3 linked regions of the Kluyveromyces lactis genome follow. The protein of the gene in region 2 binds, or shares a complex with, the protein of the main gene of each other region. Links are inferred from orthologs where the notes say so. Each region holds a gene or a part of one and is shown on either strand. Other genes may lie near its edges.

The links. The genes of interacting proteins can lie anywhere in the genome.
Region 1: COQ4 (region 2) and COQ11 share a complex: the UniProt entries of both Saccharomyces cerevisiae proteins name them as parts of the multi-subunit COQ enzyme complex. The link is inferred for Kluyveromyces lactis from reciprocal best matches to the Saccharomyces cerevisiae genes COQ4 and COQ11.
Region 3: COQ4 (region 2) and CAT5 share a complex: the UniProt entries of both Saccharomyces cerevisiae proteins name them as parts of the multi-subunit COQ enzyme complex. The link is inferred for Kluyveromyces lactis from reciprocal best matches to the Saccharomyces cerevisiae genes COQ4 and CAT5.

The regions. Positions count from the first base shown.
Region 1 is NC_006037.1:400,432-403,291, forward strand, and holds COQ11 (ubiquinone biosynthesis protein COQ11), read right to left. Parts: upstream 1,366-2,860; coding exon 514-1,365; downstream 1-513. Other genes in the region: KLLA0_A04389g (SUR7/PalI family protein), read left to right, coding at 1-344; KLLA0_A04433g (translation initiation factor eIF-2B subunit), read right to left, coding at 2,031-2,860. UniProt on the Saccharomyces cerevisiae protein: Component of MIOREX complexes, large expressome-like assemblies of ribosomes with factors involved in all the steps of post-transcriptional gene expression. Component of a multi-subunit COQ enzyme complex required for coenzyme Q biosynthesis.
Region 2 is NC_006040.1:1,586,890-1,589,845, forward strand, and holds COQ4 (ubiquinone biosynthesis protein COQ4), read left to right. Parts: upstream 1-1,444; coding exon 1,445-2,443; downstream 2,444-2,956. Other genes in the region: RAV2 (Rav2p), read right to left, coding at 1-1,067. UniProt on the Saccharomyces cerevisiae protein: Lyase that catalyzes the C1-decarboxylation of 4-hydroxy-3-methoxy-5-(all-trans-hexaprenyl)benzoic acid into 2-methoxy-6-(all-trans-hexaprenyl)phenol during ubiquinone biosynthesis.
Region 3 is NC_006041.1:223,667-226,044, reverse strand, and holds CAT5 (putative monooxygenase CAT5), read left to right. Parts: upstream 1-1,154; coding exon 1,155-1,865; downstream 1,866-2,378. Other genes in the region: PHO92 (mRNA-binding phosphate metabolism regulator), read left to right, coding at 1-632; FRQ1 (frequenin), read right to left, coding at 2,226-2,378. UniProt on the Saccharomyces cerevisiae protein: Catalyzes the hydroxylation of 2-hexaprenyl-3-methyl-6-methoxy-1,4-benzoquinol (DMQH2) during ubiquinone biosynthesis.

The DNA of each region.
Region 1 (2,860 bases), on a different chromosome or scaffold from region 2:
CCATTCTAATATGTATTAAATGGTTAAACACTTCAAAGAGTGTGTTACTTTTCGCCGTGGGCTGGTCCATGGTCACTTTCATGGTTTCCCTCTTGGGATTCCTTATTGACGTTTTAATGTTTGCATCCCACGTCACGTGGTCAAGTTGGTTGATGTTAGTTAGCGCATTCTTCGTGGCCTTAAGTGGCATTTTACTTTGCCTGATGATTAGAGATTTATCTTACAGAAGGTTCGTCAAGCTGCAAGGAGAAGTGGACGTTTGCGTCCCGATGACAGAGCCACGAGATCCGGATGAATTAAACGAAATTTGGAAAAAGAAAACTTCGAAGAGAGAGATCCTCTGAAGTGATATCACCTAGTCTATATACCCTTTTTGACTGGTTCCTTCCCAATACTGCATTTGTTTCTTTAGAAAAGGAACATATATCTCATCGCATGTTTATTATAACTCTTCATTAATAAAGTACTTTTTGTAATATTATTTCTCACGTTTTAAATAAAAGATACATTCTCTTACATCTTGAGCATTTCGTCCAAGGTCAATACCCCTTCACAGTTGGGATCCTGTAATGCTAATATTAACGAGTGTGCTACTTGCTGTGTAGAGATTAATGGTCGCACAAGGTCGTTGACAAACGGTATCTTTTGTCTAAGTACCATTTCATTACCGCAGTTCAACATTTGCAAGAAATTACGAATCTGCGTTCTTCCATCCGATTCAGAGTTTCTTTCGTCAAACATAAACCCAGGTCTTAAAATGATGGACCTTATCTGTTTCCCGTATTGGGAAATGTGTTCTTCGGCCTGTCTCTTAGAATCAATGTATCCACTTGGAATTGATGGGAATCCTCTGTCAGCCGAAATGTAACTGAAAGTCTGAGCTTGACCACCGTTCACCTTCATATAAGTGTCTGCAAGTAAGGTGGCACTATAACGGTTCATCATGTCGTATGTAAATCTCGATCTCTCAGGTTTTTTTGGTGCCAATGGGTTCTTACCAAACCCTCCGAACGATAACTTCGGTACCGACCAAAACGAACCATTGATTTGTTTCTTGTAATTCTCATTCTCCAAAAGTATTCCTAGACTGTGAACTACATCAGTGGCATTACGAAGTACTGGTGCATATGTGTCAGGATTAAAAATATCACAAGATCTCCATTCAACTTCATTTGCCCATGGTTCAGATGAAGTAGCCTTTCCCGACCTCGATAGTGAAACTACTTGGAAATTTGCTCCAACAGCAGCTTCACAGATACGTTTCCCCAAGAATCCAGTACCACCAAGTACTATCAATTTGCGACTCATATCAATGGCTTCCGGTATACAAAGGACCCTTTTTGATAAAGCAATGCGTCTCATCATTTATTCATTGTCAGTTGCGGAGTGACCATCATTTTAGCTTTGAAACGGCAAATCTCAACTTCGCAGAAGCATTTGTGGAGAGGAACAACCAAGTCACGTGACCAGAGTTCATGATGGTCGCATCAATCACTGCACTGGCTCAAGTTAAATTTAGTTTACTACAAGGAGGATACGAGAATAAGGAGCGGATACTCCACTATCGATTATCAAGAATGGAACCTGGATCAATCCTTCAAATAATTTTTGAATACTGCTGCGGTTGAGAAGAGGATCCCTTGTTTCTCAACAAAAAGCTATGAGCCAAATTAGGCATCTACTGGTAAACTATCTAAGAATGTGTGAACTTCTAATTACGGGTCAAGGTCATTGATTTCAAAATAGGGCCTTTTCGTACTCAAAAGAAGTCAACTCGATGTGGCCCATTAGTCATAAATGTTTCGTTAATTCATAATTGAACAATAAACATTAACCATCCAGCTCAAGATTGAAAGTTTCAGATACATTCAACCGAGCGAGGCACAGGGCATCGGTATTATAAGAACAAGAATCGATGTTTAAGGTTTGAATTACCAGATACATCAATAAGAAATATGCAACAATGAATGCTGAGTTTCTTAGAACAGATCGTATCTTAAATTAAATCTATTTCAGACATGCATGGATCGTTATATTTTTTCCCCGAGGTTTACATCCTCTTGTTTGTAGTTGTCCCATACCACACGATATATGAAACTTGGGGCAAAGCCGCCAATATTGGTGATATAAATATCGATGTTTTCCGGGGGAATATAGTCAGCAATTGGATTTATCGTTTCTAAAGCAACGGTACCTACTCTATCATTCTCAGTTGTAGGCAATACGTTCTGAGATCCTCCAATTTCTACCATCTTCTCAACATCGAATGGGTATAATGGAGAAAGTTTATAAAGACCAGCAACGGCAAATACAGGTGTTCTGAACTCTCTTGCGCACTCACATACAGAGGAGACACCAGCAGTCGAAGATATCGTTCCACCGTTAGTGAAAACGGTTTTAGCTCCTATAATGACCTTCCCCACTCTCGACATCAATGCAAATACAGCTGAATCAGGGATTACAATAGTCTCAATGTCATGTTCACTTAATTTTTTAGCGAATTCATGAGCCACGGTTGCGTTGTTAGGGAATCCTTCAGTCACTAAAACAGTAAAATTTCTATTATTACCTTCTCTAGCCTTCAGAAGGAAACGAAGAACGGTTTTAGAGTCTGGAGTAGGGGTAAGTAGGATTTCACGATCATGAATCAATTCAATAGCTATTTGTTGAATACCTTCATCGATATTTTTAATTTCATCTATAAGATCACGAATTGACTGAACAATGGTTTGCCTTACGTCTAGTTTGTTATCCTGTACCTTTTTTGTCTTCGTATCAGTCATAGGCTTCTGTAATAAATTGAACATTGAAGATATCATCGGTTCAGCACTAGTCTGTTCTTCTTCTGTCTCGTCTCTGA
Region 2 (2,956 bases):
TAACTTAAATTTTGAATATTTACAAAGTGATTGCTGATTTTGTTTTCAAGCCCGTTCAACTTTGCACTGACACTAATCAATGTAGGATCGCTGGTGGTAATTGAAACTTTCTCGCATTCAGTGACAACTCGCCCGTTAAATGTCACACACCTAGCCAATAGATCGCTTGCTTGCGGAAGAGTGATTCTTTCAGTTGCTGAAAAACTGGATATCAAATTGTTTATCATAGATGTTTGTTCAACTTGCAAGCCTTCTTCCTTAAGGATCTCTGCGATTTTTCCATTTCTGTCTTGCTTCAGCCTGTCTCTGACTTTATCACTGAATGATAACCCAGTTTTCGAATCGATCTCACTCCAGGGTTTTTTAATGACTTTTGTCAAATTCCTAATGTCCAAGCAAATCTCGTTTTTGAATAGCACTAATTCCATATTGACCAAATGATGTGCTGATTCACAAATGTCATGAGATTCAGAGAAGTTGTCGTTTAAGAAGCTGTTGTTATTATGCGGAAAGACCAATTCTCGTGGAGGATTTTGTAATAATGTAATAGATTGTGTAAGTAACTCCAATATTTTCCCAATTTTATTGTGAAAAGTATGAATATCATCAAGTTTCATATCGTGTAATTCGGAAAGTTGCTGTAATTCGTCAAATAAGGACAATACGGATGATAAATTTGTAATTATGGCATTTATTTGAACTAAGGGAAATTGTTTATCAAGGTCCATCTTTAGAACTATTGGTTTACCCCTGCTAAAGTCTGGAAGCTTAATGATAGCCTGAAAATCCACTATAAATCCGGCCTGTCTAGTGATTGTCCCTTTAATCGATGTGCTGTCTGGCGCGGCACCTGATGTGTTAACGGAGACACTATTCCCATTGGTAAGAGGCATTCGAAATTTCTCAGGACTAGATAGTTGGTTTATGCATTTCTCAACATGGTCCATAACGTTAGGTAGCTCAGGCTTTATGATTTCTTTAATCAACCATGTCTGTTGTAACAAAGAGCTCTCCTCATATGTAGGAGCATTTTTATATGCCCCATCATTATATAATTCCGTAGTCATCTCGGATTTATGCAATTGAGAATTAATGTAGCAAAGCTCCCTTAGCGTGTAGATAGCAAGAGCCTTGCTAAGATGGGCGTTTTCCTTTGTCAACCTTTTTACTATTCTTTTGCCTTTTTCGTATGATGATTCTTCTGAATATTTCAAATTTAAACCTTTTCTTGAAGTTGATGCGACTCACCCACATATACTTTAACTAGAGATAAAGGAAGATCATTGAAAATTGTAAAGTGGTTGTAATTGAAATTGCTGGCGTGGATTAGGATCAAGGTTTACACAGATTCTAGATTTGACTCAATTGACGAGTTGTACTCCGGGACACAGCTTTTTATTATTAGGGAAAGTGTGCTATTAAACGCATCAGACGACGACCGCAAATGTTTACTGTAAGTAAGAAATCCTTACAAGCAAGTCGTAACGCTTTCAGTCCATTGAATAATAGCAAGAGAACAATCGTATTTACTGCAATAGCAGCTTTTGGAGACCTATTGATTGGGAAAGATGTTAGACTAGCAGATGCTATGGAGAAAGGGAATCTGCATAATAAAAATGGAGAGTATGAGCATAAGATGGAACAAAGGACTCAAGAAAGGTTAAATGCATTACGAAACACAAGACCGATAGAACCTAATTATGAGGGTCATGTTCCACTTTGGTGGTATGAGCGAATGATGCTCTTCGGTATCAGTGGTTTAAAATCTTATTTCCACCCGGAGAACGGTGAGAACATCGTTCAATTAGGAGAAGCTACTGCTCTACCTTGCTTTCTTGAAAGTTTAAAACGGACAATGTTGTTAGATAAGACTGGTAGAAGGATTCTACAAGACAGACCAAACATCACATCGGAAAGCCTTGACATGGAACGATTGTCAAAGATGGATAAAAATTCAGTTGGCTATACGTACTACAAATGGTTGATGAAAGAGGGGGTCTCTCCAGACACAAGGGCACCAGTTACTTATATCGATGATCCTGTCCATGCTTTCATATTTAAGAGATATAGACAATGCCATGACTTTTATCATGCAATAAATGACCTACCAATCATAATCGAAGGTGAGATTGCAGTTAAAGCATTTGAGGCATCAAACATTGGTGTCCCAATGGCTGCACTTGGTGCTCTATTAGCACCATTGAGATTAAAGAAAGTGCAAAAGGAAAGACTTTACTCCATCTACCTCCCATGGGCAGTCAAAGCAGGGCTGAATTGCAAACCTCTCATCAATGTCTATTGGGAAGAAATCTTGGATAAGGACATAGACGAACTAAGAAGAGAATTAAACGTCACACCACCTCCAGATTTGAGAAAAATTAGAAAGGAAAGAGCGAAACAAAGAAAACAGTTCAAGCTTAAGTATGAGACCTACGAGAAATGAATTTTAAACCCTCAATCCCCAAATCGTGATGGCTGGCGTAAAGTTGCTTTGTAAAGTATAATGCAGGGTCATTCTGTGGATATAGGAACCAGGAAAAAAGAAATAGAAATACGTACGTAATGAAATAAACGTCTTCAATTGAAGAGGAAAAAGATCGCCTTTGCTTGATCGATTAAAAAATATATCTATAGCTAACATCCTTGCTACGTACAGTACCACTGCCTACACTTTTATTTGCTAACGCGGTATGTTAAACAATTATGATCGAACTTCAGTACGATGTCCTCTTTCCCTCGGTGTGCTTTGCAGCCTTAAAACTGTTCTTTTTTCTTATCACTGCGTTTAGCGGCCAAGAAGAAGAAAAAAAAGAACAAAGTTAAAAACTATCCAATTTAAGACTTCTGACCAGGGCATCTCATCTCACCCCATAATAAAAGAGAAGCAGTGTCTTGTGAGGGTTTTAAGCGGAAGGGGAGGATAATCTGATATTGAACATACAAGAATCTGTTACTT
Region 3 (2,378 bases), on a different chromosome or scaffold from region 2:
AATCCTTTGATACAAGCGGCGGATCTAGTTTCATAGAAAGTCTAATGTCAAACATGGATGGTTTTTTCTCCACAGCTTCTACCATAATGGAGTCTTTATCGCCGCTGAAAGAGTACACTACTGATTATTCGAAAATAGAGAACCGTGAGTCGGTGTATGGGATCCCACATGGTTCTAAATTTTTTGTTATCAAGTCTTTCAACGAAAGAAACGTTAAACTTGCACTACAAAATAGTGTATGGTCTTCGACACGCAAAGGGAACAGAAGACTTGAGAGAGAATACCATAGTCTTGCACCAGGTGCTAAACTTTTCTTATTATTTTCTGTTAACAAATCTGGTAAATTCTGTGGCATTGCAGAGATGTGCTCGGATCTCATAGAAAATGATCCTCGCGCCAATATTTGGGAAACACATACTGATTCGTACACTTTCCCACATTTATTCCAGATAAAATGGTGGTATGTGAACGATGTGAAAGTGCGTAGATTCAATCATTTGGTTTGGGAAACTGATGGTGAACAGAAATCATTGGGCCATGGACGTGATACAGAAATTGTTCCGTTCAATATTGGACACGAAATTGTTGCTATTTTCCACAACTCATATACTAAATCGTCTCTACTATTTTAAATCTTGTTCCAAGAAAGGTCCCTAGAACTTTGCGACGGTTACACACGCGGTGACTGAATGTAATATAGCTAATGTATATAGTTGCTAAACTAGTAACTATATGATGGTGAACTTCCGGTATCAATCGCTTGGGTTACATTTCAAAACCCCCTTTAAAGGGTTTGGGAATGGAAACTGTCTCTACTAGGATCCACATCGAATAGCTTCCACTTGCCAGAGGTTTAGGTTTTACTTCTTGCACCTGATTCGATGACAGCATTTCTTCAAGCCACTGGCGCAAAATCGGGTAACCCAATAATATTTCCTTATACTGACAATCAGCAGATCATGGTGAAAAAGCACAACTTTGATATAGAATAAAGGTATACTATATAAATGGCTGGGGTATTGCTCTTCAAGGTTTAATTGTACAAGCAGTTCTTCATCAGGACAAGTATTTGTTGGTAAAGTTTGGCAGGTTAATCGCTATCTTACACTTCAAAGTTTCGCCCTTTCAATTGGCTTTTGGTATCAAGTTAGCGAATGCTTCGTACGTGCTGTAGGAGAGCCGTCCCGCTAAGACAGTTTTCGGTCTTATCTACCTTGGGCAATAGTAGCAATGCAGGGGAGCATAGAGCGGAACCTAATGAGTCTGCTGAATTGACCAAATTCAAGCCAATGTCAGACGCTCAGCTAGCATATTTGGATAGGGTGGTTAGGGTGGACCAGGCTGGTGAATTAGGAGCAAATTACATTTATGCGGGTCAATTCTTCGTACTTGCCAATAGATATCCACATTTGCGCCCTGTGTTGCAACATATGTGGGATCAAGAGATTCACCATCATGATACATTCAACAATTTACAGCTGAAAAGGCGTGTGAGGCCTTCATTATTGACACCGCTTTGGAAAATTGGAGCATTCGCAATGGGTTCTGGGACAGCTTTCTTGTCACCAGAAGCGGCAATGGCATGCACGGAAGCTGTCGAAACTGTTATTGGGGGGCATTATAATGACCAGCTTCGCTGTCTCAACAATCAATATGAATTGGAATCAGAAGATGGAACTAAAGTTGGACAAACTGTAGAATTGAAAAATTTACAAGCTACTATCAAACAATTCAGAGACGAAGAATTGGAACATTTGCAAACAGCTATTGATTACGATTCGCATAAGGCAGTCCCATACATTCTTTTGACGGAGGGGATCAAGACTGTTTGCAGAGTTGCGATTTGGGCAGCGGAACGTGTGTGAATGGTTGGCCCTTCTGACAGTACGCTAACCCTTTCTAATGAACCGTGATGAATACGTGATAAGGCATATTTGGTTTTATATATACAGATTGGAGAAGTATTATAGTATCGTATACAAACGTATATATTACACTGATGATATAGTTACACCCATACACGTTGGAAACTAACGTAAATCAATGTTTCAGGAAGAGAACCGCATGCTCCATTATCAAAAAAGAGCACATTAAAAGAAACAGTCAGTATGAATATGACTTTAAGACTAACAACTTCAAGCCAAAAAAAGTGCCCCCGCCTAATTGCCGTGCAACCGTTGAAAACTTACACTAAGTAAGTTGTATGGAAGCAGGTTACACAAGGGTCATACCAATCCATCATAAAGATTCAATGCCCCTACTATAGATGGATCGACCTTCGATCCGTCTCTAAATTCATCTAACGTAATACAACCATCTTTGTCTTTATCCATAAGCCTAAAGATCTTTTCTACCCTTAACTCTGGAGTAGCTTCATC